2 linked regions of the Zea mays genome follow. The protein of the gene in region 2 interacts with the protein of the main gene of each other region in a pairwise test. Links are inferred from orthologs where the notes say so. Each region holds a gene or a part of one and is shown on either strand. Other genes may lie near its edges. The genes, in order: Transcription factor bHLH128 and Transcriptional corepressor LEUNIG_HOMOLOG.

Region 1 (16,317 bases), on a different chromosome or scaffold from region 2:
GGTTTTGGGAATCAAAGTTTTGTTTAAGTTTTTTTTTTTACAGTTAGTAGATGATATGAATATTGTATGTCTAGATATTCATTAGGTCAGGTACGGTTATGGCAAGTAGAGGTTGTGGCAAGGGTATAATAAGGAAAGACTTCATCCTGAACTCTGGATCTTGATTCTTCTAGCGATCTAACTTGATTTTTTTTTTGAAGACTTGAGTTGATGCTTATCCTCCTTTGACATGGTTGGTCTTCTTTGGCCTTTATTCTTGGAGTTGTCATCCGAGTTAAGGACATATGGCTAAGGATATATAGTTAGGATAGCCGAGGTACATGAGGTAGGTAGGTTTGAACGGAGTTTTACTTTGCTTTTGGAATAGATGAACTAGGCAACCTGTGATGTAGGTTAGGTGGTTGATCATTGACGAGTTGGTGTAAGGCACCAATTTAGGTTCATGTTTTATCGGATCAGGGTCTAATCTATTTCACCAATATAACTAATATGTTTTAGTAGACCACATTAGGTTAGATCACATTAGATTAAATCTAGGTTAGATTGTTATGACTAGATAGACTAGATAAGATCTCATTGACTTGGATTAGATCATGGTGGTTACTTTGGAATGAGATAAGTAGGATGGTTAGGATAAGGTGATTCTTTCAAGATAAGATGAATTCAAAAGGATAAGGTAAAACCTTTAGAGGTCAGTTTGATCTATTCAGAGAAGATAAAATCTTTTCAAGATAAGATGAGTCTACTAAGGTAATAGGGTATCTTTTAAGATAAGATGGATCTATTAAGCTAGATATATTTTAATGGAGGATATTCTAAGTTGATTAGTTATCTTATGAATTTTATTTATTTATATTTATGCCTATATGTATATGCAGATGTAATTGTGGACATTACTCCACAACTCATCACACTCAATCAAAGATCCAAATCAGACAAATATCATAAGAACAAACATTCAAGTGCATAGATAAAAATAGTTTTGTTTTTGTTCCTAAGATTAGGTTTCCTATTCCTAAAAGTCAATTTAGGCACAAGATTTCAAAGGGTGAAATCCACATTTGTCTTTAGAAGAAAAAGATAAGAATAATCAGAGTAAAGCAGAAATAGATGAGAAAAGATTAAGAAGAGTTTAGAAAAGAATCAGAGTAAGGTAAGTAGGTAATAGTTTTGTCCATTTCTATCTAGGTTTCGTCCTACAGTCAACATTCCTCTGATACCACTTCTGTCACACCCGGATTTCGGGGCACCAAGACCCGGGCGCGAACATAATCACCAGGTGTGCTGGGACCAAGTCTCACACATATGATGAATAATGGCACAGGATCGAATGTCACATCTTTACTACATAACAGGAGTTCTATACAAAATAAATAAATAATTACATTATAAGGAGACAACGGTCCAGCAACCCAAAGTTGACTGGGAGACGACGGCCTAGACCTCTCACGAACTCGTCACAGCATCCTCCATGCGCCTCATCCTGCGGTACCTGTTCTTGACCTGTGGGGGGTGTGAGACAGCAAGAGTGAGCTCACATACGTTCATCGCTCAGCAAGTTGTGGGGAATAATGTGCATGAACTCGCCAAAGGTGGGAGCTCACGTGAAGTGTAAGGCTTACCAAAGAGGATGGTTAGAGCTGAGCATTGCTTTTAAAGTTGGTCAAAATTTTATTAGCAATTACTAAGTATAAGTAAATACCAACCCAATTAAATAGTAGAACAGAAGTAACAACATCACCTGCGATGCAATGCATATGACAAATTGAATTTAAGTTCCATAAATTAATCATCAGAGAGTCCTGAGCTGCTCATGACCGTGAGCTCGGCTAGTATACCAGTTTTACACTCTGCAGAGGTGGTACCCTTTACCCACAAGTCATGTTACCCATCTGCCAAGAGATCGCGACTTCCCATACACCTCTACCGAGGAGGCGAGGCAGGGTAACACTACGAGGCCTTTACAAAGTTCCACTAGCTTCAGAAAACCCGCTACAGTTTATAGGAAGCTCCAATGCAGGAATCCCTTGTAGGACCGCCATCACAGCAAAATCCTCCCGAGGGTCTTCCCAGGAATCCCTTGCAGGACCGCCATCACAGCAAAATCCTCCCGAGGGCCTTCCCAGGAATCCCTTGCAGGACCGCCATCACAGCAAAATCCTCCCGAGGGCCTCCCTACACTGACCACTCCCCTACTGCCCTTGCCCCTTTCGGGTAAGGTAGTCCTCCACTAGCTTTCCTAATTAGTCAGCCAAGGGCGTCCCATTAAACCCTTGTGGTGGCACGTGGTTCTCAAGTTAAGCTCTATGTTCCAATTAACATTTAATGATCTTGTCATGAACATAAATAGAATAACAACATAATTGGAACATAGATGTAATGAAATATTAACCCAAAACCATATAAAGCAGTAGCAGAACTACCCAAGTGATTCAGGGGTAAACAAGGTATTCAGGACGAACAAACTAGGGTGACCTATTGGGTCCCATCAAAATTAACCTATGCAGATCATTATGATTAATCAGAACATGAGTAGGTAAAAGAAGTGATCAAGGGCACAACTTGCCTGGGACTTGAGATTCCAGGTACCGGGATGATCTTCAGGTGACACGTGACCTCACTGCTATTCGTAGCAATACAAACAAACAGTGTATGGGCAAAATTAACATCACAACAAACATAAGAATAAACTGAGTAATAATAATCTACGCGTTGCTACGATACTAACGCAACTGGAATGAGTCAAATCGGATTTAAAACGAATGAGATACGAATTTCCTAAGGTTTTATGTATTTGATACGAGATTAGTTAAGAAATAAATTTTAATACCATCTTCATGTTAAAACAGAGGTGCTATGTAATAAACAACATTATTACAAAATTTTAGGAACTGGAATGAAGTAATTTGGAGTTCATATGCATTTTCTATGAATTATTGAAGTTCTAGACATTATTTATACATTGAAAATCAATTTGAAATTTAAATTCTCGGGTTAAAACTATTCTGGACGGGGCCTCAATAACCAGAAAACTCAGGGGCTGCTCGCATAAAATTTCCCAGGCACAGCACTCCACTCTCTGGACGGCGGGTTGATATCCTTTAACCCTAGGGTCTCTTTAGCAAAAGGTGCAGGCCGAAGGGGTATCGGAGAGCACTGGCCGCCAGATCAACAACGGACGGCTACGATTAGAACTTATCTATTATGAAACGTTATGCGATGGCGTCCCTCGGATCAGAGACTGACGATCCAGATTTTAAGTAGCCGAGGCCCTGCCGGATCCGCCCGATCGTGATCCAAGGGCCACCACAGATCCGCGCGACGTTACATCCCCAATTAAATCCGGACCGCACAACAGCGAATCCACGGTTCACTCTAGTTTGTCCCTCCATCTAATCACGGTCGTCCGAGAAACATCTAACGGTCCGGAGCTTGCCTCCCCAAGCTAGCTACTGACGCGGCGGCGCCGTTGGCCCAAACGACGGAGAGATGGCCGGACTTTGGCCATCCCGTCCAGGAGGGCCCCAGCTTCAAATCTAAAACGCGCGTCATGCAATTCTAGGTATGGCGGACGCAAGGAAAGGGCACTCACCGAAGACGGCTGCCGAGACGACGCTGGCCACGGCGAGGGGCGGATTCACGGTGGTGCGACAGCAACGGCGAGCAATTCACCGACGACCCCGCCGTCAAGCCCGCCCGAAGCGTAACCATGCCATCCACGCGTCTATTCGAAGCCCCTAGACCCACTGGTTGAATCCCGAGCTGTACCGTGCGCGAGTTCCACGGTGGCGGAACTTTCCCCCACCCGCACCCACTCTCTGTCTCACGGCGAGGTGTGCTCAGGGCCTGCCCGGTGCTTTGTGATGATGGACAGGGAAGGGGTGGTCGTGACCCGATACTTGTAGGCATGGCGGCGGCTAAACAGCCCCGAAGCTCGCGGCCGCCCACGCGACATGCACGGGACGGGCGTTGCGCGGGGGAATACGGAGTCCGCGCGGTGATGTGCGGCGTTCGCAGCGGGGAAGAAGGAGTCCGTGATGGCCTGGCCCACTCGACAGGGTCACCGCGCGCGCCCAAGAAAGGGGGTGTGGGACTGACCCGTGGGTCCCAACGGTCAGTGAGAGTGCCCAAACGTGCAGGCGCAACAACAGGAAGGGAGGTGGGCTGGATGGGCCGCGTGGTTGAAGGCGTTTGGGCCGAAATGAAGTTGAGCTGGCCCAAGCAGTGTTTTCACCTTTTTATTTCTTTTCCTGATTTGTTTTTCCTTTTTATTTGAATTCAAATTCAAATTCAACCATGTGTTAATTCTTCCTTGGATTAAGAGTATAATTTTGACATACTATTATTACCCTATTCATAATATTTATTTTGTATATATTTTCTTTTCTTTCTCCAATTCTAAAATTTAACTCTTAAGTCTAAATTTTATTTTGGACATCAATGTATAAAAAATATCTTATTACTAACAAATGCACACACATAAAACTCAACATGATGTATATATATATATATATATTTTAATTTTAGTATCATTGTTTTAATTAATCACTCTCAATTATATGTGTGCTCTTTTTATGATGCAAATATGGCACATAAAATAAGGAGTTCCTCTATGTATTTCTTGTACACCATTTTGAGTATTACAGTGTGTACGCTGGAAATGGAGTTGCCCATGCCCTTCCAATATTTACCGTTGTTGGTAAGGTACCCCGCTACAGAGTTTTGTTTACTGTATGCGGGTAGGGTAACCTAACTAGATATTATGATTATAGTTCTGTCTTATTTGTTAAGTCTAGAATGGAACCAGTAGGTCCCCTAAAAATAAGCTGTATGGAATTGGTTTAAAAGTAAAGACCACATAATTGCGATAAAGTCAAATAAATTAAAACATTACCGCCACTACAGGAGTTTTTTCCCTATATATTGTTCTTTCACAATTATATGATTAACACTGCCGGAGTGCCGGTCTCTCTATTAGTAGAGTAAAGTAAATAATTCTCTAGATATTTTTAGCAAGATAATAACAAAAAAATAGAAATTTGATCAAACCATTTGTATTCTCCTTCGGTATGCATGGCCTTACCTCTACAGTTTGCACAGGTCAGTGGATCAACTGCCCTCCTGCTGCTTTAATCTCCGTCCACCCATGACCACGAGGTTAATTTGAAACCCACGGGCCAGCAATTATTTGTGGCGGGAAAGCAAGCCTGCTAGAACGATAGACAACGGCTCCGATGGACCGAAGGCAAGGCGAGGCCTCCACGGCTCCACCTCCACTGTCTCCACTCAACCGAGCGAGCGGTAGAAAAAAGTTCGGAAGAGCGAAAGAGGCCGCGGAAAAGGCGTGCAAGCGGCCGCGAGGGAATCCAATTCCAATTCCAATTCCAGCCTCACGTCCTCCCCTCCCCTCTGCCCTGCCCTGCCCTGCCCCGCTTTGTTTTACATTCCATTCCATCCCATCCCATTTTGCAGCTCCTCCTTCCGTGCTCGCTGCGCCCTCCTGCTTCCACCCCCGGCAGCGGCAGGGGCAGGAGGAGACGACGGTCGCCACCGGCGCCCTGCACCGGCGGATGTCGGATCGGGAGCTCCGCCCCCTGCGCTCCATCAGTACGTTCCAAACGCCGTCCGTTTCTAGCAGCGGTAAAAAAGATGGGCTTCTTTTAATTTTCTTCTGGTGGCGATCGGCGATCGAAAGGCAGGCAGGGTGATTCCTTGCTCCTTCTAGTAGCGGTTCCTGGCTTGTTTATCAGAGATGGTTTGGTCTTGGACGCGATCGGGAATAAAAGTGCCTGCATCATACAAAAAGACACCGTAACAATGATAAGCTACCAATGGCGTAGCAGCAAGATGCCTTTTCTAATTCCACCACATCCTTCTGCTTTCGTATGCATGTCTGTATATAATGGTACTATGGTAGCAGTTCTAAAGCTGCACCTTCAGAGATCCTTTGCTAAAATCAGAAACCAGATAATATAATCTCCTCCTAACAATCCACGCTACCAATCTTATAAGCCGAAAGCAACACTGCATGTTTTCTTTATGTGCGGGCAACGCCATACATCTGATGGCTCCCATGGAGGTGTTCATCATCGAGAGGTTCTTTCTGGTCGACAGAACACGCGTTATCAATTTCACTGACGCCGCCCCTCACGTTTAACTGCAGGAATCACAGGGGACGGTCGATGCCTGTTCAGGTCCGTCGCCTACGGCGCCTGCCTGAGGAGAGGAAAGCATGCGCCCAGCGACAGCGCCCAGAAGGAACTGGCCGACGAGCTCCGAGCCAAAGTGAGTGTCCGTTACACCTGGGCTTCTTGATTATTACTAAGCGCGTCCTTGTTCCGTGCATCTCGACAGAATGGAATAATCTCACCGTCTTTGTTGGTGCTAATAACCTGCCGTTGATCTGTTCCAGGTAGCTGATGAGTTCGTCAAGCGAAGAGGAGACACCGAATGGTTCCATCCTCTTTCCATTACTGCTTTTATGATATATGTATTATTAGTTTCCATGGACGTACTATCTGTTTCTGCATACAGACTATATATTCCCATACAGCAACTTTACACATTTAATTTGTTGATAGATGTCCTTCCATCCTTAATAAAGATCTAATGTCAAAAGAACATGCTCCAGCTCCCAATATACAAAGACGACTATGTCTTATTAACTCCTTTCCAATCTTAGGTTCCTTGAAGGCAGCTTTGAGAGTTATGTGAGACAGATGAGAAAGCCTCATGCTTGGGGAGGGGAACCTGAGCTGTTCATGTGTTCCCACGTTCTCAGGTCGGTATGGTGGCCAACCTGTCCGTGCTAAGTGTAACCCTTTTCTTTTGTACACATCGTTATGGTCACTTTGGTCAGCGAGGACTGAGACTGAGAAAACGCTGCGTTGCAGGATGCCCATCACCGTCTACATGTATACGGGCAGCTCCGACGGCCCAAGGATCATAGCGGAATACGGCCAGGAATACGGAAAGGACGATCCAGTCCGCGTTCTCTACGACGGCTACGGGCACTACGACGCACTCCAGCCATCTCTCGTAAGAACACAATCATCGAGACTGTAAGTATTCTGCACTGAACAGAATCCGACAATAGGCAGGCTTTTTTGCACTACTAGATTGCTCTTTTGGCTTCAGTGCTCTCATCTAGCTCGGAACCAGTAACACACCCCCCTCCCCTGGCCCTGTGGAATCTGCAGGCGAGGTGTGTAGGTCACCGGGGGCTGCGCTGCCTAAGCTTCTTCTACAGGACAGCTGCGTAACTGCGAGCAGCTCAAGATTTGACGACGCTATTTTTTTACTCCAGTTCCACACAGCCGTATAGCCAATACGAAACTATGCCTGGCGGCTTTGACTGTACCAGCCTTTTCTGTTCTTCAACGTTTGATGTATAAATAAACACACACACACACACAAAAAAAACTCGTCACCCGAGTCAGAAAATCAGTTGAGCTACTACCTGGTACCATGCCCAGCATCGAGTGACCGACCGTGTAAAGTTTCTTCGATCGTTTTTGCTCAACAAGAATGCTGCATAGAAAAAAAAAAGCTGAATAATGCTCAAGTTGTCATACTAAAATTCTCTTGGACTTCGTATGGGGTGGCATGAACGCTCGGTCAGTGCTCGGTTTCTGAGTTACGGTCTTGTCAAAATCCAGTGACACACAAAAAAAAAGATGAGCTCGATGAAAAATGGAGCACAGATGATATTCCTACAACAATTTTACCAGCAACAACAATCCCAGTCGCGTTGAAAGGGAGGACTTCTTTACACGAAAGCCAGAGCCACCGCGTCGCGGTAACTAAATTACAACATCGTCCTACTTGTTATCTCCTAGTCTTCAAGCCGTTGGCACCCCGGTCGCTAGTCCGTGGAACAACCAAGAAAAGAGGAAGCTGAGTCATGGAAGCCGCTCCACATGTCACGCACTTCTGCCCGCGGCCTGGTCTCCTGAAGCAACAGCTCTGGTTTAACAGTCACATTGTTACGGCGTAAAAACCCTCCTCCGTCTGCTTCTCCAGCATCAGCAGCAGCTCTTGTTGCCTAGGCAACAGCAGTTTGCTTGGTCGTGTTTTAGCTTCTGCAAGGATCCATGTTTTTTTAGGCATGGTAAGAGATAGTGTATTTTTGTTTGTAGGCATGTCGAGATAAAGACTCAAGTCACAAATATATATATATTTTTTGTTTGCACACCAAGCGATACGTACGTACCTCAACTTGGTCCTTGAGCTCTTTGATGTACTCCACAGCAAGGTCCAACATGTCCGACGTATTCGTTTGCTGCGTGTTCACGAGAAACACCAATAAACACGCTGACGAAAATGGGCGATGGCAACGAACAACAACGAGAACAGGTTGTTCAGCAATCCCGCACGGGAAAAATCTACGGATGACGATAATGAATGGCTATGGCTCATTGCAGATCTTAAGCTCAGCTTACCTTGTCCATGTTGGGCACGAGGTCTTGCAGCTTCTTCAGCCTCTTGCTGATCCTCGTCCTTCTTTCCTGAACGTACGCCAGCGAACAAGGAAAACGAAATTGGTTTCTGTGCTGACATCCAGCTAGCATCAAAGCTGGCAGAGTGTGGCACCATATATTGCGCCGTGCTTTTTTTTAGCGAATCGTTTGGGAAGGACCGAAGGATCGAGTAGATGAACTGACCCTCTCGGCAATGCTCCGTGGGTGAGTCGCGCAGCCACGCCTCGCACGCACTCTGCAGGCGACGGAGTCCTGCTGCAGCTGCAGGTAGTCGTCCATGCCGGGCAGCTCCAGGGACGAGTTGGACAGGCCGAACTGGACATACATACAGCAAGGCCAAAAAAAAAACAGCTCACTCCCGTCAGCATGGAACCACGCCGTCGATGATGCATGACGCCGGGGAGCGGCAAAGTAAGGCCAGAGCTAGGCACGGAAAGCGGCGCGCGCTGACCTGCGGGTCAATGGTGCTGAAGTTGGTGACCATGTCGTCGGCGCCGGCGGCGGGGTCCACCTTGGGCTTCTTGCAGGGGGCAGACGAGAACATGATGGAGTTGGTGTCGTCCCAGGAGCCGACGGAGAAGGTCCTGGAGAGGTAGGAGGAGGACTGCGCGGCGTCGCTGGAGCTGTTGCACCCGCCGGCGCCCACGATGCTCTCCCCGATGTCGGCCGGTATCATCCCCATCTCCGAGATCTGCGGCAGGTCCTGCCTGGAGAAGCTCCACTGCGAGCTGAGCTGCGCGTGGCCGTGGCCGTGGCCGGGGCCCAGCGCGGCGTCGCTGCCCGCCTGCGTGTAGCTCCCCATCGCTCCTCCGCTCGCCGCCATTCCTGCAGTGGGCGCATCCGGAAGATCGTCGAACACACGTCAAACAGGTAGACTATAGCTGACCCGTGCCCGCATGTCAGCGACTGTTCGTCGAGCTTGAGGTAAAAGGCATTCTTTTGGTATATTTATTTTAGTAGTATCGTTCCTTTTTTTCACGCTTTCTTCCTTTTTTTCATTTTAAGAAAAACAAGAACATTGTACCATCGATGATTTTTCTTCTTTATCGCGTTCTAGCTAGAAAGTAGTTGGATGAACGGCTGGTGAGTGCTGCTGACAAGCGCTGCCCAGCCCCCAGCAGGTTCGCCGTAGCTACAGCCGGATTCGCAGCGGGACGGCCAGGAACGGTCGCCCTCACGTCACCTAGGTCGGCAGCATATAGGCCGCCTTTCCGAAAACCGAAAGAGCAGACAATGGAGGGGACGGGACCAATCCGCGTGTATTTGTTTACGTTAATTTCATACTGTGGTCGCGATAGGATTCTTCGGCAAGGTGCGTTGCATTTGCACTGCGCTTGCGTACTACTGTGCGACGAACGATGTTGCGGCACGGATTCACTACCAAGGGAGCTAGGGAAGCATTGTTAATGAGAGCCGAGAACGCTGGACATGTGCGCCGGTGGGTGGGTGATCGACTTCGCGTCTCGTTCGGAGCTGGAGCTGGAGCTGGAGCTGGAGAGGAGTATTATTCTATACAACGGCCGCCGGGCACATGCCAACCAACCAAATCAGCGAGACCAACGTTATGCTAATTTACTCTAGTATTATTCTAGCTTAGCTGAAGCCGAAAGCGCAGTGATTACAGCTACCGCCATTTACTCTAGCAGTTTAGTTACTGTTACTGTTACTCCTACCTTGGGTTCGAATTCAACGTGCTCCTAGCCTGCCTCCCTAATCACGGCAAAGCCGGAAAACGACGACCGAGACACGTACCCCAGCAAGCGCAAGCTGGATGGAGTTACGCTTACGCAAGGGAGAGAGAGAGAGAGCATACGCACCGTGCGGGTCGGTCATGAGGCGGGAGAGCAGCCCGGCGGGGGAGCTGCTGTGGCGGAACAGCGGGGAGGCCGCGGGGGGAGCCAGCAGGTGGTGCTGCTGCTGCTGCAGCGGCGGCGGCACGCGGATCTCGCCGGAGCCGCCGTACGCCCGCTCGAGGGGCGGGCGTCCGCAGTCGGTGCGGCAGCTGGAGTCGCAGGAGGTGAGCCCCGAGGACTCGGCGGAGTAGAACCGGCTCACGGGCGGCGGCGGCGGCGCGGGGTCGCCGCGGGTGACGGAGTCGGCGATGGCGGCCAGGAGCGAGCCCGGCGCGGAGCCGTACCGGGCCAGCCCCTGCCCCTGCGCCGAGGGCGGCCGCATCGCCCCGTGGAGCGCCGGCGTCAGGTGGTTCATGGCTGCTGCCTGCCTGCGCGCGGGCCGGGCGATCGGTCGTGGACTGTTGCTGTTGCTGCTCCCTCTGCCGCTGCTCTGCCCTCGGCAATCAATCCGGCTCGCGCTCTCTCTCTCTCTCTGCCTGCCTGTCTGTCAGTGCGAGCGAGGCGGATGGTGGTGCGGTGGTGGTGGTGGTGCGTGCGCTGCTGCTTTTGAGCGCGGCGTCCGGGGGGCAGGGCCAGGGGGGATGGATCAGAGGTCTCATGGTCGTTCGTGGATGGGCGGGTGCACGCACCGGTTTCGGGCGTGGGGCCCACCCGAGATGGACAACACAGGGAAGACGGAAGATGCGGCGGGGGTTACAGGTGGACCGAGACCTGGGCGCCAAGTCAGCCGCAGGAGACGGTCATGTGCGTGCCAGGCCAGCCGACATGCTTGCAGCGTGTGCGTGCGTTCACAATCGCGAAGCTGACCGGACTGCTACTCTGCTCTTAGCTCTCTGTTGGGCTTTTCCGGGCCTGGGTCGAAGGCCCGTTCCTGTGACTGTCTCTTTCACTTTCTCCCTGACCCTTTGCCCTCGCGAGACGGATACTGTTCGGTGGGGATGGGATCAGATCGGATGCCTTGCTGGCTGCTGACGCTGCATCAGGATCAGATATTATTCAGGACACTAGTATACTTGCGGCTTTATATTTTCTACTAGTATCACACTTAGTTATTATACTGCTCTATTAAAAATCTTGTTACAAAATATTACATATATGATCAATCTAAGGGGTGCGACAGTTTTTCTCAAGGGACATACCTCTTGGGATACACCCCTTCACTTGTATATAAGTGTAATGATCTATGGAATACACACAACAGTTCTATCATTTATCTCTTTCAATCTCGTTACCACTGAGTTCTAACACGTTATCAACACTGCTCGTGAGAGAAAAAAGAATTTTCTGTTAGAGAGAAAGAATCGGAAGGCATCACTCGCTGTTGAAGAAAATTGGAGGGCTCTGCCTCTAGAACAACAGGAAGGTATTGATCCTACTGTTCATCTTTGCATTCGTCGTTTGCGTGAAGAACTTTGTGACGACCATCGGCCAAGCATGGCATCAACGGCTTCAGAGCGCCCGACGAGGCCCGACCATGGCTTGGCATGCGCAGGCACGCGCGCGCGCATAGGCCAACCGGACCATGGCGCACCGGCCCCGGCAGCGGGCGCGGGCGCACTCCGGCCCCAACAGCGGGCGCAGGCGCGGGCAGGAGCCCCTGGTGGCTGCTTGCTTGGCGCGAAGAACGGCGACGGCCGTCTCGCTGGCGTGAGGACTGGCGGGCGGATCCACCCGGCATGGCCAGCGCGCTGAGGCACACCACGCCCATGGTGTTTAGCGGCGCGGACCGAGCCAGCGGCTGTCCTGGCGGATGGACCCCGCGGGTGCGTCGCGGCCACGACGGTCGCGGACGCATCTCTCTAGTGCGGGCAAGGACTCCGGCTCGCTGGCGTATGGCCGCGGTGGCCCAGGGCAGCGCGACTCAACCCGCCTCCTGTGCGGGCAAGGCATGGGAGGCCTCGCTCTCCTGATGGCTCCCCGGCGCGGGCGCGGCCCCGGCGTGAGCCTTGGCTCGGCCGCGAGCACCGCCGCGGCGCGGGCGCTCCCTGGATCCCGGGCAGGTGCGGGCGCGGCCGGCGATGGCGTCGATGCCGGTCAACCATTGCTCGGTCACGGACGCCGCCCTCGACCCCATCACGGGCGTTGCTCCACCCGCCACGGAGTGAGCGAGGCTCGGGCTTGGCGCTCAGCGCGCGCGAACTCACTGACGCGCGGCTCGAATCGCGCGCCGGTGGCCATACTCCCTGGCGGCGGCTGGGAATGGGGCGGCTAGGGTTTCAGACACCCTAACCGCCCCCCGTTTTTAATGGGCGCTTGGGCCGCCCTGGCCTTGAGGCTGGCCGCGTGGGCCGCCTCGGCCTGGTGGCGTCCGGGCCGCCCCCACATCACCAGATTGGCCTAAATGGCATGTTTATCATTTAAAATTTCTGATTTTTTCAGTCACAAGAACTATGTGTTCGTATAAATTACTGAGTGTATCATTATTTGTACATCTAAATTTGCATATTTAGACTGATGATGATATATATAATTGTACATACTTGTCTGTTTTTATTATGGAAATTACAGACTTGTTAGTGAATTATATTTTCTATTTACATTTATAATTCACAATTTTGACTTGCTTTTGTTTTTGCATTCTCTTACGTTTGCATGGAAAACATAGCACATTAATAAGTCGAAACTCACTGGTCCTCATGCAAAATAAGGTTGCATTTTGGGGGGGAAAACATAGGGTGATGGAGACCTAAGCACTGGCTGCGCTAAATTTTTTATAGAATTTAGTAGCCCAGAGAACGTGCTTTAGGCTGCATTTGAAATGCCTATCACTATGAGGTCTACATCTTTCGAGATGATTACCTATACGTGCTACCCAAAAAGATCACGGACCATGTAGGCGTCGTGGGCCATGGAGCCAGGCTGGACGCTGCAGTCATGGTGACTGCTACAAGAATTCTTTTAATTAAGTTCTACTTAATTAAATGATGAATTCTTGCAAATATGATACATATCTTGAACTTGGGATTGTTCAACACATGATGGAGATCTAGGCTTTGGCTGCAATAAGTTCTTGGAATTTATTTGCCCTGAGACCAAGCTTTTAGACAGCAAAATGTTATTTGCCCATCAGTAAGAGGTCTACATCATATGGCTATGATGATTACCTATGTGTTCTTCCAAGTAAATATGTTGGAGATGTGATGTTGGTTATTCACCTTTATGGTGATTACCATTTTTTTAAAACTTTGGTCAAGCACAGGGTAGTGGAGTCCTAAGCATTGGCTGTGGTATGTTCCTTGAATATATCAGCCCAGAGATCATGCTTTCAGGCAGCAAAAGTTTTGCCCACTACTGAGAGATCTACTCCATTGTTTCATTACATGGAGATTATCTACGTTGTGTACACCAATTTTCAAAAATCATTTGGTACACTTTATGTGATACCTAGAGTTCTCCAGCATATAAAGATATGATATATTTTGCGACATATTATAACATCAGAAAATGTTTAAGCCATTTGGAGGATAATTATTTAATAGAGTTTGATGAACTCGCCTACTGGGCTTAATTATCATCAATGTTCATTGGATATGTTCATTGGATGTAAAGATCATTTTTGCATAATATGGGGATTCACTTCTTCACTTTGGAGGAAGTGTGATGCTCTCATTCTCTTATGGTTCTTATGAAAAGAACTAATGTGCTTTTGTGGCTTGATGTGCAAGCCCAAAATGAATAGCAAAGAAAATCATAAGACTTGTGGACTTATGAGTATGTGTCTACATTATGTTGTAGACTAACACTTTGTATTCAAATATTTTTGCTTGAAAGCAAATATATAAGAACATTAAAAAGGGAAGGGCAATGAGTATGACAAACTCTTTTGTCATTACACTATACGTGGTATAGTGTTGTATGCCTAAGCATCTAATTTTGTATATGAAATACCAATAGATGCATACTACTCATGAAAGCTAAGATATGAAGTGTACTTCAATCTTCCATCTGACATGATAACAGTGGTTAGTTGTGTAATTCATGATTTGGACTAATCATGTAACAACACTTCTTTTTCTAAGAGAAGACCACTTTGTTAGATGATTTGCTTTTGAGTACTATTTAAATGATGCATGAGATTTGGTATAATCTCATAATTGATAGGTTCAACTCATGTGATGTGAGTTGAACACACTCATGTGATTTGAGTGTAAAAACTCATATGAATTTGAGTTAAACAAACTCATCAATTGGAGTTGATCACTCATGTGATTTGAGTTGAACAAACTCATCGATTAGAGTTGAACGAACTCATCAAGGGAGTTGATGACTCATTGATTTGAGTTGTGCAAACTTGTACGGGGATTCTTCCAATTGAGGAAGAAACATGCAATGTGGAGAATTGAGCCACAAACTCTATAAGTGGGGAAACAAAATATTCTCATATTCCTTTGGAAAGAGGAAAGAATATTTTGACAATCGCTTCGCGTGATATCATGATATGTTATTATCATATCCCCTTTTGGTATTGGAAGTATCAAGGATGCGTTGATACATCCTAATTGTTATCTTACCATATTATAGAGATATCCATATAATTTCTATCATGTGGAAACATAAAGTGATAGTGATGGATATTGCATGTGTTTCTCGGAAACATTTCTTATGGATTGTATTCTACATACATCCTCTCGTACAATGTGTTGCATTTGTTAAACTTTTCATGTGATGTTACTTACCATGCGGGTAAGATTGAATTGGTCATCACATTGTTGGGATGAAATGAAAAGTTATGAACAATTCTATTGGTCATGTTTTTCCCATAAGATAGATACTTGATGAGTATCATTGGGAATGAGATTTTAAGTCCCTCTTATCTTAAAATCTGATCTGATTTGGTTAAGTTCTTTGAATTGTTTCAAAAGAACGAGTGTGGTCCATTACATAGATGGTATGGACATTGAAGGCTTTATATGGTTATTTGGTGCATCTATATGATGACCTGAAGTGTGTTCTTCGGACAACACATGACCATTAAGTAATAATGTCTCAACTTGAGCACATTAGCCTCCACACTACTGAATTTACCAAATGTGCTTACAATGATGATTGTTTGTTTTGGTATTCAGAATGATATCCATAAAGGATATGATGAATCTGTGATAGATTCGAAAATTTCAGATCATTAATGACCATCTGTAATGAATTGTCATTTCCAACCAGTTATGGTTGGAGTCAGGAAGTTTGCACGCTCCTGACTTGTGATTAACTGCATGTACTACATGTACAAGTTCCCCTACGATTTTTTAGTACGTGGGAATCCATGAAAGATTTCCCATGCGTACATTGGGTATGTTTTCCCAATCTCACCACCGCAGCGTACATGTATGGGCACACAGAAAGCTGGGGATCTATGTGAGAATTTATTCTCCGTCGATCATTAAGTTTTAGAATCTCTTCATGAGAATCTATTTACGGCCCGTACGCTTGCTTGAATCATGAGCTTTTCCAGGCATTAGGGGGAGATTTCGAGTACCAAAATGAATGCCAGGAAATTATAATGAATGCAGTAAGCATTCAGGCTCAGGATCACGTACTAAAACTGAACCTTTAGGTTCGAATGATTTGCAAGAAGTTGCAAATTGACTGCCATGTGCATTTACTAAAAGGTGTCACTCAAATTAATCCTATGTGAAAGTGCCAGAAAGAGTGTTTACATGGAAAACCACTTAACTCCCTATTGCAACGTAGTTGTAAATAAGAGGGGGAGAAGTATGGACACAAACTGGGATTAAGATGCTTGCAAGCAGCTGAAGGCAAGACCTTCTGAGATAGTAAATGCAGACCATCTATTCGTTGGTAACTAACCTAGTGTTGGTGGACACCTAAAGGATATTGATTATCCTGTGAATGGAAGACATTCACAACCTAGCTCAGTGCGCACTGATGAGGCTAGGTTATCGGAAGCCCTTTATTCTCGTTTTGGGATTTCACGAGAAATCATAAGGGTGCATAAGAAAATGACTTCATGTCAACTGGAGAATTGT
Region 2 (16,320 bases):
CAATGAGAGATGCAACCAACTTTACAATATAAATTTGCAAAAAAAAAAAACTGATTATTTTAGAACTGTAAAAAAGTTGGGTTGCTTGCATCCAAAGCGACTAAAGTTTTACCATCAATACAAAATTTATATATTGAGATTGAACATTTCAAATGATGAGTGAGATTTAACTCCAACAGTAGTTACATAATATTACAGTTTTGTTGTACTTTCTAATTATATTAGAATAAAACTATCACAGGCTACATTTAGGGGACCATGACAATGTTCATAACCAACTTGTTTAATCATTTGCAACTGGAGGGAGTATGTATCTGCAGGCTGCAGCGGTAAATGACTGGTGTTCTAAAGTAATGTCTTTATAGTGAGTGCTAGTTTGGCAGCATAGGAGGAACTCACAAGAAACGAGGGAAAGGGCCCACCTGCACCGCTCAATCCAGGTTTAGGTTGAATTAATCCTTGACCGTATAAAGATGATGGATCCATGGGTAAAGATCTCTGGGGTACTCCCATGTTACCTTCACTCTTAATATCCTGTTAGAATTTAGAACATTCAGGTTATCAGTGCATATGTTCAGTGAACTAGTGTAAGAAATTGCGAAGTGAATAGACACATGATGGAACCAATAACCTACAATCGTTTGCTGATTCCGTGCCTGGATTTGCTGCAGAGTTGTAGACACATTTCCAGGAGTCCCTGGAACTAATTGCCTAATTGCACAAAAACAGTAAGTTCTGTGAGTACCACAAATGCTTCAGTTCTAAGTTTCTAACTATCTTTCTTTTTCCTTTTATATAAGTGTGTAAGAGAAAATGGGAGTTGGTGAGCACCCTGCATGGTTTGTTGCTGACTTGAGAAGAGCCATTCTACTAGCTTCAATAAGTTGTGATCCCTCAGACTCCATTGAATGTGGGTGCTTCAATCGCTCTTCATACATCTTGGCAGCTAAGACACTAGCTGTTGATGGCCCCAAAATGCCCTCAGAATTTAAAGCATTTATTGGACCATTAAGTGAAGGATGATTCGCGTTAGTTCGCTGAAGTTGAGCATGTCTTTGATGCATAAGTTGCAATTGCTGCATCTGCATCTGCTGCTGGTGCTCTCTTGCTTTTATTTGCTGTGCCTATTTCCAACAGAACATAGATTCACACTCGGTGAGATTAAGAAAAACAAGAGGTGCATTGTAGATTAAGAAATCACAAAGCTACCTCTAGATATGCCGCTGCAACTTCAGAATGCTTTTCATTTGTCCTTGCGATGAATATATCCCAAAAGACAGACCACCACTCAAACAGAAACCCTCCAGGAGCATCAATTGCTGCATCACAATTCACAAGTCAAGCATAACATAGTCACACTTATGATGGATTCCTGGGCAAACAAACTAATGGAGAGAAATAGTTACAAAAATATCACATGAATGCATGTGATCTTGGAATGGGTAGGCATCCGTCACATATATCTTTTTTTTAACAAACGCAGGAGAGTTGTGTATCATTATATTAAGAAGAAAAAAACATAGGAGAGACAGGACTTGTCAACCCCTAATACAGAGGCCCCTAGGCCGAGACCCCCCTCACAATAACACAACGCGCCACGCACACAACAACCCGACCAAAACGACCACCAACAGGCAAATTGCTAGGGTCCCCTAGGGAGCTGGTGCAGGAGGAGGAGGTCCTGCAGAGCTGATGCACCAGCCAAACACCAAACGCTGCCCTCCTCAATCACAGCACTCTGAACTCGCTGGGTGCAGGGCACAACCCCCTCAAAAACACAAGCATTACGGTGCTTCCAAATCACCCAAGCGACCAAAATGATCAAGGAATTAAGACCTTTCCTTAGACTCTTCTCCACTTTCTTGATACTTTGGCACCACCAATTTGAGAAACGAGTGCATCCAGGCTGAGGTACAATGGCTAGGAGGCCTAAATTGTGTAGTATGGACGTCCATATTTGCCGAGCGAACACGCAGGAGACAAGAATATGCTGGATGGTTTCCTCGGCCTGATCATACAGAGGGCAAGCAACTGGATGGGGCAAACCTCTTTTTGCCAGTCTATCAGTTGTCCAAACCCTGTTTTTGATTGCCAACCATACAAAGAATTTGCATCTTAAGGGGGCCCAGGTCTTCTAGACACGTCGCCAAGGGCCAAAAGGGATAGAGCCAACAAAGAGAGCATCATAGGCCGATTTGCTACAATAAGTACCATGGGCAGAGAGGCGCCAGATGTGTTGGTCTGCGATGTCAGGTTGCAGAACTACCCCATCAACCAAGTTCCATAGCTGCAGATACTCCACTAGGACCGTTACAGACAATCCTCCCCGAATATCTGACACCCATTGACGATTTGTGAGCCCCTCGGCTACTGTTCTTCGCTTTAAAGCCCTTCTAGAAATCATTTGGATCAGGGTTGGACAGTGTTCAACCACAGTTTTACCAAGGAGCCAACTATCAGACCAGAACTTCACAGATTCACCACTGCCTACCACTGAGGTAATAGCCACATCAACGAGGGCCTTTGCATTACGGTGCACTCGGATAGGGAGACCAGCCCATGGCCTTGACGTGTCAGTCTTCTGTAACCAAAGCCACCTGGCACGTAAGGCCCATCCAAACATCTCCAAGTTGAGAATACCCAGACCACCATACTTGAGAGGCCGCTGGACAGCTTCCCAGGACACAAGGCAGTTACCTCCATTTGCGTCACCTTGCCCCTTCCAAAGAAAGCCTCGTCTCCTCTTATCGATTGCCTTAAAAACCCATTTAGGGAGTTCTAATGCAAGCATAAGATAGATAGGGACAGAAGACAGCACTGTCTTAACCATGACAAGACGACCAGCCCAGCTGAGAAGATTGGTTTTCCATCCTGGAAGTTTATCAGCAACTTTATCAACAAGTGGCAAGAGATCAGAGTTAGCAAGCCTACGGATTGATAGAGGAATCCCCAAGTAAGTGCAGGGAAAAATTTTTGTAGCACATGGTAATAAGGCAGAAATGGTGGTCAGCTCATTCGCTCCACATTGAATGGGTGTAACAGAACTTTTGGAGATGTTCGTTTTTAGCCCTGTAGCATGACCAAATATGTCTAAAATGCTGATAATTGCTGAGATATCCTGATGAGAGGGCCGCATGAACAAAACAACATCATCAGCATAGAAGGAGATACAATGTTTGGCATGTTGATTTGCAATCGGCTGGAGGATATGTTCCCTGAAAGCATAACTGACCATCACATATATCATCGTTTCATACTCGGTCCTTCGCTCCTTACTCGGTTTGAGATCTTTACAAGATAGCATCTTTTAGATACTAGGAATGAAGGTTCTAAACCTCTAATGTAACAGCAGTTGTACCAGTTACCCTTTTCGAATATCCTGTCTTTCGTAAGCAAGAAGTCTATCTTTGACTGATGTGGCAATGGTACATTGGTACTATTTCGATAACCATTTTGTAAGGATATTTATAACAGTTTCGAAACTGGACTCTACCCTATTTGCTGACATTCTAGTCCTACCATACATCTGAACAATATGCCAAATTATATTGGCATTGCTTGTTGATCAATGCATGTGGCCCCTGAACATGAGATCCGCACTTCAGATGATAACTACACTGCATCAGTTATTACCTATCAAATCAAAATCTCAAGAAGAGCATGCCAGTGGTGAGAGTTGTCTCACTGAGTCACCAGGCCGCGGGTTCATAGCAGCCTCTCCGCATTTGCGGGGGAAGGCTTGTCTCAGTTTATCCCTTCCCCAGACTCATGCAAAAGCCTCTGGCACTGGATCTACCCAAATCAAAATCCAATACACAGATCGGTGGTTTCTAGTGCACATTTGCATATAAGTTATGGGGATCCAATTTTGCTACACAGCTGCAGTTTTCTTTATCAGAAATGAGTTTCGCAGTTGCCCTACAAGTGTGCCACCCAGTTACATCTATACCTGTTAGACAGATCTCTGTATATGGCAAATGCCTTGCTGTATATGGTAGTGTAGAATATGGTAGTCTCTGATAGGAGATTGATATGATTGAATTCCTGCAGGATCTGTCCATATCCTGCAGATCCTCTAGACGTAGGAGGTTTCCTTTAGCCTCAAGTCTCTCTCCCCTATATATGTACATGTATCATCTCCTATTCAATACAATCCAATATTCCTACCAGTCTTCTCTGCTTCCATGGTATCACGAGTTTAGGTTCTACACCTCTTCACGCTTCCGCTCCAACGCGCCTCATCATCGGCGATGCTTCATGGCTGGCGTTCCCTCGCGCCTCTCCACGCCGTCTCCTATGCAGACACCGTTGACTCTGGGCTTCTCCAAAACACCGACGCCCAGAACACCGCTGCTGCCGATCTCCTGTGCATCGCCCAGGAGGATCACGCGCGTGTCGCCCAGGCTGCTCGCATCGCCGTACTAGCTCGCGTGGCCAATGCCGACCAGGAAGCCGCTCTCGCACAGCAAGAGCGGGACGCCACAGATTCTCGCGCTCGTGTGGCCCGTGAACGTGCAGCTGCTGCCCCTCCCCTCCTGGATGAGCTCGCCACCTCCACCGATGACTCCGGCGATGGCACTCCTCTTGGCGGTGCCACCTCTTCTCTCCTGGATGCGACTTTTCTCTAGCACGAGGCCACCACTCTGCTCAATCTTCACGCCCAAGCCGTTGACATGCAGATCATCCACGCCCTCGTACCACTTCTTCTCGACACCAACTCCAACTTTTGCGCCCGATGGTGTGAGTCTTTCCTCCTCACCCTCACCAAGTTTTCTCTGGAGCATCGTGTCCTCTCCGACGACGTCGCCTCACCAGACTGGGTGCGGATGAACGCCGTCGTCCGCACCTTGATCCTCGGCACCATCTCCGACAACTTCGTTGATACGGTGTCTCAACGTGGTACCACTACCCGTGTTCTGTGGCTCTCCATCGAATCTCAATTCCTCGAGAATCGTACGCCTCGTGCCCTCTATGTAGACCAGGAGTTCCGCTCTTTCTCCTAGGGTGATCTTCCCGTTGCCGAGTATTGCCTCTGCTACAAAAAGCTCGCCGAGGATCTCGGCGAGCCCGTCTCCAAAATATCTGAGGGGCAACAATGCAGCGTCTGATTCTAATATGTATTAGAACAGATGACACAATCATTACATAAATCTCCAAAATGTAAGTTATTATGTGACCACGCAACAGGGTGTATGCTCCGTTGCAACACATGGGCATTTTGCTAGTAAAAGATTAAAACAACTATGCTGCTATAGTTAAATTAGCACGTGAAAACCAAATGTTAATTTCTAATTTTGGCATGTATGATTTTGTTGTAAATTGAAATCCCTATATATAGGGATGAAAACAGGATGGACATTCCCTGGTATCCATCCATCTAAAACATGTTCAAATACTAAATGGATAATCCGTATATGAATCCAGCCATTTAATATATGTACTGTATCTGAATCTGATACTCAAAGTAAGATTTCTCATATGTAGGATGGGCATCAATATTCAACGATATCCATATCTAACTCCAAATCCCAGAATGAAACTACATGTATTTGCATCCATATCTGTAATATCCATTCATATCAGGTTCAGTTTCATACCTAGTACGAAGACTCCCAGTAGCTTTCCCGAAAAACATATTAAGAACAAACAATAATAGTAGTAATCCAGCAAGTTTGAACATTCAGGCAAAGCTTTGGCACTTGAGAAAAGCATAACATGTTGAGATTATTCAGTTAAATAGCATTAGCAAATAGCAGCAGCATTTAGGTAAATTGCCACTGATAGCTTAATAGTTAGTAGGGGCTATACAGATGGATCATGTTTGCTATATGAGTGATACTCATGCAGCTTCAGCTCTGCACGCAATCATAATCTGCAACCCATCAATACAATAACACCACCCACTTAACATGTACTAACGCAAGCTATTATCTAAATAAATGTACTTTAAACAAGAAAGCAAGAACGAGAATAGTAGCAGATATGAAGTGCACTATTGCATTTGGAGTTCTAAATTTATTACATTTCCACTAAAGCACCTCTCGACAACACGACAAAAGTTTAGTAACATCACAGGAGGCATCACTTCCCGCTTCCATCGAATTCATGTGTATTAGCATGCAAAAACATAATGGCACACCGCCAGTCCCCTCAACAACGGCAGCTAACGACGAGCATTATCTGCTTAGATATGAAAATAACATCCCGCCATTTCCGGCGAAGAGTTATGCACCCATCTCTACTAAAGCTTCACAGGCTCCTTTGAACTCTCACGCCCACAATATTGTTTCAGAACCTCTCCGCTCAAATTTTAACAAAGCTCTCCAAACCAATTTGAATTGCCATTACCTGCACTCCTGTTTACTAAAACCCAAATTGTAGATCAATTCAGATTCCAACCATGTGCCCTACTTGAGACAAACACACACAAAAAAACCTATGGAGTATTCCATACTAAAAACTCATATCAGAGCTGAAAACACAGCCCACTCTATCTAGTTCAAAATTCGAATTCATCGCCAGCAACCAACAGCTAAACTCTTGTGCACCGTCACGAACAAAACCTAACCCAGCAACAAATGAGGAAGGGCGAAGCAACAGAAGAGAAGGCAACAATTACCAACTGGATCAGCAGCAACCTTTCCCTCGGTCATGAAAGCCTTGGCCGTCGTCTGCAGGTTCCTCTTCAGCAGGTAGTCATAGATATACACGTCGAGCCTGCACCACAAGAAACGGAATCAACCCGGACCGAGCGAGGGGAGCAAAAATTTGACAAGAACAAGCGGGGAGAACACATCAGAAATCACTCACATCTTATCCGCTTCCCAGTTGCTCTGCGCCATTCTGCGACCGCTGGCCGAAGCGGAACGGAACAAAAGAGGCAAAAGCAGCAGAGATTAGGGCCGGGGGCAGGCGATTCGGTGCCGAACTCGAAGGGGAACAAGGGATCAGAGCCCACATTACCGGCTGGGCGGGATCTCGCGGCCGAGGGAGCGGGGTCACAGACGGCCTCGAGAAACTTTTCCCGCAACGAGCCGCCGTGCGGGCGGCGAGCGGGGACGGGTCCAAATGCCCGATCGCGGGTGGCCGCGTCGGCGAGCTCGGCGGCGGAATTAGGTGGTGGGTGGAGAGCGCGCGCGCGCGGCACGGTGGTGTGAGCTGCCCTCGCTTCCGCCCGCGCCGCTTCGGAAGAAGCGAAGCGGAGTTACTAGTAGTCTAGTAGTAGTAGATGAGAAAGAAAGGGAGGAGAGAGAGAACGGGGTAAGCATAGCATAGCAGAGAGTGAAGGAGAAGAGGCATGGGTCGACTCGGCTCGGTAGGGTGAGCCAGTACTCCGGTTCAGGAAGGTTCAGATGACAGGCAGGCAGGCGTCAGACAGTTTTGCACAAAGATCCTCGACTAGACTAATAATTACTCGTACAGCAAGTATTTCGAAATTCATATCCCTGGTTGCGAGGACCTTTAAATAAATTTTTGATGCAACAACCTCCTTTTTGAAAAAGAAAATATATCTTCTTGATGATGTGATTGATGTTCATATAATAATATAATGGTAGCAATAGTATTGTTAGGAATGGAGATATTTGTGCTAGCTCGTCATATTCCAAACGTGGAAGGGCCAAACTGCGATTCGGCGTACGTACAGAAAGAGAGAGAGAGGGAGAGAGGTTCGGAGGCAGAGGAGTAGGCTCGGAGGCGTGGGGATTGGAGGTGCTTGATTAGGCCCGGATTACCATGACCCAGCTGGTGCGCAGGGCCAAACACCGCGCACGGGGCCTGGCCAACCGCGTGGAGCGAGGCGATGGCTTGGCCGGCAGCGGCTGGCGGCGTGGGACGCCCGCTGTTCGCCAGGGGATTCGTGAAAGGCGGGAGGAGGAGGGTGACCTCTCACACACACAGTGACCATGTCTCGCACGTTTTTGTGTGAGGTCCCTGCGGTCTTTTCTTTTTCTTTGATGTATGTTGTGTTTACGCACTTCTTTTTTCAGAGAATATCCTTGCCTTGCCGTGATTGTTGCTACCGCAGCGTTGTTTGGCTTCGCTGCTCATGGCAGCTGATCAATCGAATGTGTTTATCAGGTTTTCTGTCAACGTCAAAAGAAAAACGTTATATATAAAATATATAAAAATGGAAACGAAACAGTAAAAAGGTGTCCTGGCAAACACTAAAAGCCTAGTAGTACTCCGTATGCCGTGGCCACAGCAGAGACCACAAGCACAGGATGCGGTGAGGCCACCCCGAGGCTGCTGCTCTGGGGCCTGCGTGTTTATACGGTACGGCCAGGCAGCGAGCGATCCTCCTGCCTGCGCCGCGCGTGAGGTGGTTGAGTGGAAACAGAAGGCGGGCGGAGGAACGAACCATTCCCATTCATCTGCTGCTGCCTCTCCTGCTGCGCGTTTGAGTTTCTACAAGCACTGCTCTCCTTCCTTTTTTACATATTCTTTGCCATCGCGATATCGGCTGGGCATGTTTATTTTCGTACCGCTAAAGTTTAGCAGCTACTGAAGTTTTTACTAAACTTTAGCATTTGAGAGTTGTTTAATACAAGTACTAAATTTTAGTACATTATCGCTAATTAATGTCAGCTTTACAATGAGGACCAGTACAAGAGGATCATATGATCGTTTGGGGGAGACAGAGAGCAAGGTATTGGGTGGTGGAGAGAAAGCAGAGAGAAATAGAGATGGGGACCACTTTTATTATATTTTAGTATCTTTGGTGGAGCTAAGGTATTAATAGATGCTAAACTTTAGCACAACACTTTTAGTTGTCTTGTTTGTTCTTTACTAGTAGCTAAATTTTATCAAAAAGTATAGTACTAAACTTTTTAGCAAACTTTTTAGCAAGGACACAAAGTGGGCCTAATGCTTAACTAACAACTACTATTTCACTAATTAGTTAAAGTAGTTAATAGCAACTATAAGATATTAGTTAGCTAACTGATTTAAGCATAGACACGATTATGTTAGATTGGATTTCAATCCTTTTTATACCACGAATAGAGCTGAAGAGAATTTAGCTCAATGGCACTATTTGCCATGACTACAAAGCAAAACTCCAAAACAAGATAACCAGAGCCAGCAAAACTCATTAAATCCAGAGTTGTAAACTCCATAGAGTTCTAAGAGTTGTCATATAAATTTTTAGAGTACCTCTTTTGTTCCTCCAAAATCTTCAAAAACAACCTATTACCTATACATAGAGTTGGAGTTAACTCGTCATTGTTACTGGTTATAAGAAAGCAATATAAACTCTAGAGCAGACCTGCTCCACCCAGAGTTTTATAGTAGAGTTACTCTTTAAGTCCATAGAGCGCCTTAGAGAGCTTGTACACATGGTCAGGGTATCTGTCATCCTCGAAGCCAAGGGTTGCTCCACATACACCTCTCCTCCTTGATTGGCTCATTTAGGAAAGCACTCTTCACGTCCATTTGGTAGAGCTTAAAAGAATGATGAGCAGTATAGGCTAATAGTATACGAATAGACTCAAGCCTAGCTACAGGAGACCTTTTACCTTGTCTTGATTCTCATCTCCAAAGATGATCGTGTCATGAGAATCCTTATTCTTGACGTAGGAGGTGAACATGTTCTTCTCCCCTGTCGTGTGGTTTGTGCATCCGCTATCAATGATCTTGCTTGAGCTCTCAGATGCATAAACCTACAAGATATTTAGGCTTAGGATTTAGGTCCCTAACTTGTGTTGGGTCCTATCAGGTTAGTTACATAAGATTTTGGAACCCATGCAAGTCTTACCTTTCTTACATTTTGGTCCCACATTTTTAACAACAATTTTATCATTCTTGCAATGAATTACATAGGATGCATCAAAAGTATGGAATAGAATAGAAGGTCCATGCGATGCATTCCTATCCTTATGCGCATGACAAACATGGCGTCTAGTTTTACTTCTATTAGAATCACTAGATGAAGCAAACATAGTGCGAGGAGTAAAGATACCATCATGACACATTGGAAAATTAAAACTACCATTACAAGTATAGTGAGCATTATGAGAAATGTTCTTAGCATGAGAATTAAAAAAAACATGGTTCTTCTTTTCATGAAAAGAATGCAAGCTACTAGCCATATGTGCCTTCTCCTTCTCCTTTGTAAAGTTGAGGGCCTTTTGGCTGTTAGTGTTCTTGGTTCCCTTTTGAAAACTAAGTCCATCTTAATGGATGGATGTCTACCAATGGTGAAGGCATCCCTACCAAATTTTACTTTCTCTACTTCATTTTTGCAAGTTTTAAGTTGAACATTTAGGGCTCGTTTGTTTCTGCTGGAACAGACCAGGATTAATTCCAAATCTCCAAAATTATAGTAATTATTGAAGGAATCCAAGCCAGATTTATTCCACCCCTTCATTCCATGTGAAACGAACAGGCCCTTAATTGAACAATTTCATCATTCAACTTTGCAATAGTAGAGGCATGATTACTACAAAAGCATCAAAATCATGGTCTTTACATTTAGCACAAATTGAAACATGCTCCACGGATGAACTAGCAACACTTAATTTCTCTATTCTAGCATTTAAATCGATATTTAAACTCTTAAGTCTAGTAATAGATGAATGGCAAGAATACAATTCAAATGCAAGCATTTCATTCTTATTTACTTCTAAAGCAAGAGATTTTTATACTTCTATTACTTCATCATGTTCCTCATAAAGAAGATCCTCTTGCTTTTCTAGCAATCTATTCTTTTCATTAAGAGCATCAATTAATTCATTAATTTTATCTATCTACCTTAGATTCATCCAAGCCCTTCAAAAGATTGTTAAGTATACTTATGAGTATCACATGTACGTACCTTCTTCTCTTTTGCCATGAGGCAAGTGTGATGTGCATTGGGTAAGAGGGGGGACTTGTCAAAGACAGAGGCAACAAGTCCTTCATTGTCAGAGTCGGATGAAGAGCAGTTCGAGTCTCAATTCTTGCCAATGTGCGCCTCATCATTCTTTTTGTAGAACTTTTTCTCCTTCTTCCCTTTCTTGTCTTGTTCCTGGTCATTCTCATTATAGGGACATTGAGCAACAAAATGACCAGACTTACTGCACTTGAAGCATGAACGCTCTCCCCTTGATTTGTTCTTGTTGGGGTAGTCCTTGCGTCCCTTCAATGCGGTCTTGAAGCGCTTGATTACAAGCGTCATTTCCTCCTCATTAAGTCCAACTGCCTCAACTTGTGTCACCTTGTTTGTAAGCGCCTCCTTGTGGGTTGTTGCTCTGAGTGCAACAAGTTGCGGCTCGTAGTGAGGAAGATGTTCATTAGCGATGTCGTCGACGTACCTTGTTTCTTTTACCATCATGCGCCTGCTTACAAACTTACCAAGAATTTATTTGGGCGACATTTTGGTATACCTGGGGTTTTCACGAATAAGATTAACAAGATGAGGCTCGGTAACGGTAAATGACCTTAACACGAGGCGCACGACGTTATGATCCGTCCATCTTGTGCTTCCATTGCTTCAGATTTTGTTCATCAAGGTCTTGAGCCTGTTGTACGTTTCAGTTGGCTCCTCATACCCCTTCATGACAAACCTCCCCAGCTCGCCTTTCACCAACTCCATCTTGTTGATCATTGTGGCATCATGACCCTTATGAGAGATTTTAAAGGTGTCCCATATTTGCTTGGCATTATCTAAATCATTAACCTTATTGTATTAATTCCTGCATAGAGATGCTAAAAGGACAATGGTAGCATTGGCATTTTTATGGATTTGCTCATTAATAAATATGGCATTATCATTACTATCAAAATGCATTCCATTTTCTACTACTTTCCAAATGGTAGGATGAAGAGAAAATAAATGACCTTGTATTTGAGTATTACAAAGTTCAATGGTTGTTTGTTTCATGAGAATTAAAGTTTATGGTTGTATATATATGTTGTATATCATCTTGATGAACAAGTTATGTAGATCAATTAGTATTTACTATGGAACATGAATTGAGAAAATTACAAATGACCTTATGATTTTTTATGTAAAAACAATAAACGGTTTATATGGACGGTTCAACAACAAAAACCCATTTTGAATTTGTTCAGATTTGGTTTGGATAAACCTGTCGGTTTTGCAGGTTTAAAGTGTTGGTGGGTAGCGTTTTTTTGACACAAAATGGTTTGGTGATCATTAGTGTTTGACACAAAATGGTTTGGTGATCATTGGTGTTAATAGATGTTGCAGCGCTGCACGAAAACGAGTTTAATTTGGGTTATTAGTTTCGGATTAAAGTCATCCGAGCGAACCAAACTGGCGCATGTATGCACGGTAAAGCGTCCTAGATTCTAGCTCGCGGGAGTAGCAACAATCAAACAAGCGATTGGCAGCAGGAACAATGCATAGCTGACGGATTAAAACATGTAGTAGCGAAGTAGCGAACGTAAATTAGCATATCTCACCAAATTAACCGCCCATAGAGTAATACGGTGGGCAACAAGTCCGGCGGCCGCAATTAATGCCAACCCAAATAATCGCACGAACATATCAGGAATAACTTCTCCAATTTTTTCCATACGGCGGCGGCATCAGCATGCAGATGACAAATTCCAATTCCCATGGAACCGGAACGCGTTCACAGCCTGATTCGTCTAGCCCTGCTGCATCGTGGCGCCGTCGCCGTGGCGCTCCATGACCCGGCGCATGGCCAGCGCCGCCGCCTCGCTGGCCCGTAGCGTACCGCTGGCCATGATGGCCGCGAACTCCTTCATCACCTCCTCCTGCACCTTCCCCCTGGCGCTCCCGAGCGGGTCAGCCGCAGGAGTAGGGGCTTCCTTCTTCGCAGGCGCAGGAGTAGGAGCTTCCTTCGAAGCCTTCTCCGCCGGCGCCGGCGCTTTTCGCTCGGAAGCGGGAGCCTCGGTAGGCGCGGAGACGGAGGCGGGCGTGGGCACGAACTGCGTGGTCTGCGGAGCGACGTTGCTCCTGAGCGTGGACTCGAGGTTCTGGATCATGGGCATGATGAGCGGGCCCATGGGGCTGGACATGACCTCGGCGGGGAGGTTGAGGATGTAGTCGGGCACGCCGGCGCCAGTGCCGACGAGGAACTGCGCCACCTCGTGGCTGAAGTTGTTGCAGTTGTGGGTGAGCAGGCGGTAGGTCTCGGCCGTGTACCGGGGCGCGATGTCGCGGAGGTAGTCCTCGAACACCTCCCGCGGGATGTGCGTGACGCCCAGCTCCACCACCCGCAGCGGCCGCCCGTACGGCGTCGTCCCCGCGGGGGACGACTGGATCCCGCCGCCGAAGTAGTACTCGTTCCCGTACACCACCACTCCCGTGTGCCTGCCAGGTCCGATTTGGTTTTGGTTAGGCGATGGCTGGCGCGAGGTGGTTCAGATCCGGGAGGAGGGGAGGGTCTCAGGCTCAGGATCACTCACCAGATGGCCTCAATGGGCTTGCCGAGGAAGGAGGTGGACAGCTGCCGCGCGAGGCCGTTGCTGAGGTCGTACACGTTCAGCGTCACCTTGTACCCCTCCTGCCGTGCCGCCCCGCCATTAACGAACGCAGCGTCAGATCTCTATATCCTTCCATGGATCGTCGAGCAATTGAAAGCTTGTGTGGGGGTGGGGGCTTACCTCCGCCATTAGCCGATTCTCCGTGCAGAGGGATTGGATGGAGGTCGCGAAATCGCAGGGAGGACGAGGGGAAAAATGCCTTGGAGAGAATGGGCGGTCAATAAACGCAGCTAGAACTCCGAAACGCGTGGATCTGGGCGGAGACGAGGCGAGACGACAGACGAGGGGGTTGGGCTTGGTTCGATAAATAAAGCGACACGGTTGTTAGGTTAGGTCAATGGCGGAAGCTTCTGGAGCCGTCTGGTCCAAATTAGAACGCGCGGGTAGGGGACGGGAAGGGAAGGGGAGGGAGGAAAGGGGGTCCGTTTCGCTTTCGCTGTTTGGGTATCCACTTTCCAGGAAGCTCGCGAGGCCGAGGAGTTTGGGAGGGCCTGCGCCCTGCGGGTTGCTGGTGGCCGTCTGATAGGAATCGGGTGGCCAGAATAGCGACGGGCAGGGGCGGGGCAGGTTGCTTGGAGCCATTGGCAATTTTGCCATTATCATTTGTGGGCTTCGCCATTATGCCATCGGACCCACAAATCATAGACACAGATGGTCCCACCAGTCATAGACACGGGATGACATAATAACAAGCAGCCAAATTTGAGAGTGGCAAAACAGCAAATTTCTCGGTTGCTTTCGCGTTGGATTGGATTCCAAGCGTGTGTGGCGAGAGAGCGGGGATCTTCTGGAACGGAGAGGCCTCCCAGTCCCAGCCGTGCGCACGGCTGGACTTGGACTTGTGCTCGTGTTTCCTCCGAACCAGTCCTGGTGTTTGGTTTCGAGAACAAAACTCCAAACACTCTAACTCTGGTGGTAAACTTTATATAATTTTGGAAGCTGTAATATAATTTTTACTCCTCTGATATTAAAAAAGAGTAAAATATATTTTTGGTCATTAAACTTGTTGCCCTATGTCACCCTATTCCATAAACTTTTAAAATGTGTTAACCCGGTCCTTAATCGTTGTTCACGTATCAGTTAGATCTAAATGTGTCTTGGTTGATATATAGACCCCACATGTCAGCCTGTGTATTCTCTTTTCCTGGTTCTCTCACCAGATATGCAGAAAAAAGAGAGAAAAGAGATACACAAACTGACATGTGGGTCCATATGTCAATTACGACTCGTTTGGATCTGACCCGAACATCGATTAAGGACTAAGCTGACACACTTTAAAAGTTTGTGGACTGGAGTAACACATGGCGACAAGTTTAAAGACCGGAAAATTATTTTACTCCTAAAAATAACTTAAACATGGAGTTTGAAATATTTATCCACATTACCACTGGATAGACTCCGGTGCAGAGCTGTTCGCCTGTTCCATCTAACTCCAACCAGCTCCGCTCCATGCAAAACGTAGAGTTTACCTCAACTCCACCAATTTAGTGAAGTAGCAAAACATATGCTTCATGAGTTCATATTTCCACTGTTCTTGTGGAGTTGATGTAAAAAACCCAACATAATACTACTCAATACTCATTACACAACATATTAGTTTGTTTTGTTTAAATTTCTTTTGACTGTTTCCCTGCGCAAGACCAACACAAGCACGCAGAGGTACTCGTCGAACAGGTTGCGACAAATGCCACACTGGCGTAGTCTCCGGGTTGGCGAAGGTGAGATCAAGGTTGTACGTCGTGGAGGCGTCCAAGTCAGGGGAGTCATCAAGGTCGTCCATGGACTCAAGCGAGAGGTGGCAGAGCCGCAGAGCAAGAAGAAGAGGCCCTTACCCCTTGGGTCGATAGGGACAACACGGAGTGGAAGAGGTGGTTGTTCGAGACGGAGAGATGCTTGTTTTTAATACTTTTAAAGTTAAAGTTACCCTATAAGTCAAACAAGTAGAAAATTTAATGAACTCTATGTTGGAGCTACTCCACAACAGAGTTGGTGGAGCATAGATAAAATAGTGGAGTAGAGCTGTCCTAAACACCCTTTTAGCATAGAGTTGCTTTGAAGTGGAGCAGAGTTATACAAAATTCCGAAGCAGAGCTTCTCCACCTAAAGTTTTAGTAGAGTTGTTCTGAAGTGGAGCAGAGCTATGCCACACATGTCACGTATCCACAAGCACCACGATACCCGAGAACTTTGATATCAAAGTGGGGCTTCTCATACACCTGTTTTTTGTCACATAAATTGGGCACTAAAATAAATGTGTCAAAAACATCGACAACAAATGGGGTTTCTCAGTCCTAGTCATATTATGGTAATGCCGATAAACTCATATCCGAGGAAAATACTGTCACCATCCTCATTGCTTGGTAGATCGGCTCTGGGCATGGTCGGACAATTCGCGCACGATCACGGACCGTCCGACATCTTATACCGGACAGTCCAGAGTCGCACTGAGCCTGCCACAAGTCTCGCAGGCAAATCCCTGCACGACCGCCTCCAACTAATCGTCCGACACCTTACGTCGGACAGTCCGGAGTCGCACCGAACCTACCACAAGTCTCGCAGGCAAATCCCTGCACGACCAGACAATCCGGACTTCAGATACAATACCAGACTGTCCGGTCCCTCTACGGACCGTCCGATCACCAAGATCGGACTGTCCGGGTGTGCATACGCAGACCAGGGTACTGCGTGTTATACACAATCTTCATGCTCCACCCCACCTGCAGCACACCATAGTCGCAACATGCCATCACTCGCGCATGAGGCCGAATGTCTTTCATCCCCTGCAAAGCCAAAAAAATATAGGTCGTTGAGCTTGTTTGGCCTACTAAGGCCAAATCTGCTGCTCGCTCTCCCCTGCATTTGGGA

What was found.
Region 1: the proteins of Transcriptional corepressor LEUNIG_HOMOLOG (region 2) and Transcription factor bHLH128 interact in binary tests that used the Arabidopsis thaliana proteins (3 or more experiments, as listed by UniProt). The link is inferred for Zea mays from reciprocal best matches to the Arabidopsis thaliana genes LUH and AT1G05805.

What each region holds. Positions count from the first base shown.
Region 1 is NC_050098.1:171,111,158-171,127,474, forward strand, and holds Transcription factor bHLH128, read right to left. Parts: upstream 10,891-16,317; 5' UTR 10,689-10,890; coding exon 10,298-10,688; intron 9,306-10,297; coding exon 8,932-9,305; intron 8,796-8,931; coding exon 8,664-8,795; intron 8,508-8,663; coding exon 8,442-8,507; intron 8,314-8,441; exon of another isoform or gene 8,282-8,313; coding exon 8,213-8,281; intron 8,082-8,212; coding exon 8,025-8,081; 3' UTR 7,671-8,024; downstream 1-7,670. Other genes in the region: uncharacterized protein LOC100275661, read left to right, coding at 5,571-5,607, 6,164-6,285, 6,413-6,453, 6,683-6,781, 6,894-7,061, 7,200-7,212.
Region 2 is NC_050100.1:223,737,263-223,753,582, forward strand, and holds the start of Transcriptional corepressor LEUNIG_HOMOLOG, read right to left. Parts: upstream 7,234-16,320; 5' UTR 6,964-7,233; exon of another isoform or gene 6,959-6,963; intron 6,853-6,958; 5' UTR 6,843-6,852; coding exon 6,811-6,842; intron 6,718-6,810; coding exon 6,620-6,717; intron 1,320-6,619; coding exon 1,210-1,319; intron 1,125-1,209; coding exon 832-1,124; intron 712-831; coding exon 636-711; intron 535-635; coding exon 423-534; intron 1-422. Other genes in the region: uncharacterized protein LOC100283457, read right to left, coding at 12,595-13,282, 13,378-13,475, 13,576-13,584. UniProt on the Arabidopsis thaliana protein: Transcription repressor subunit of the SEU-SLK1 and SEU-SLK2 transcriptional corepressor of abiotic stress (e.g. salt and osmotic stress) response genes, by means of an epigenetic process involving histone modification (e.g.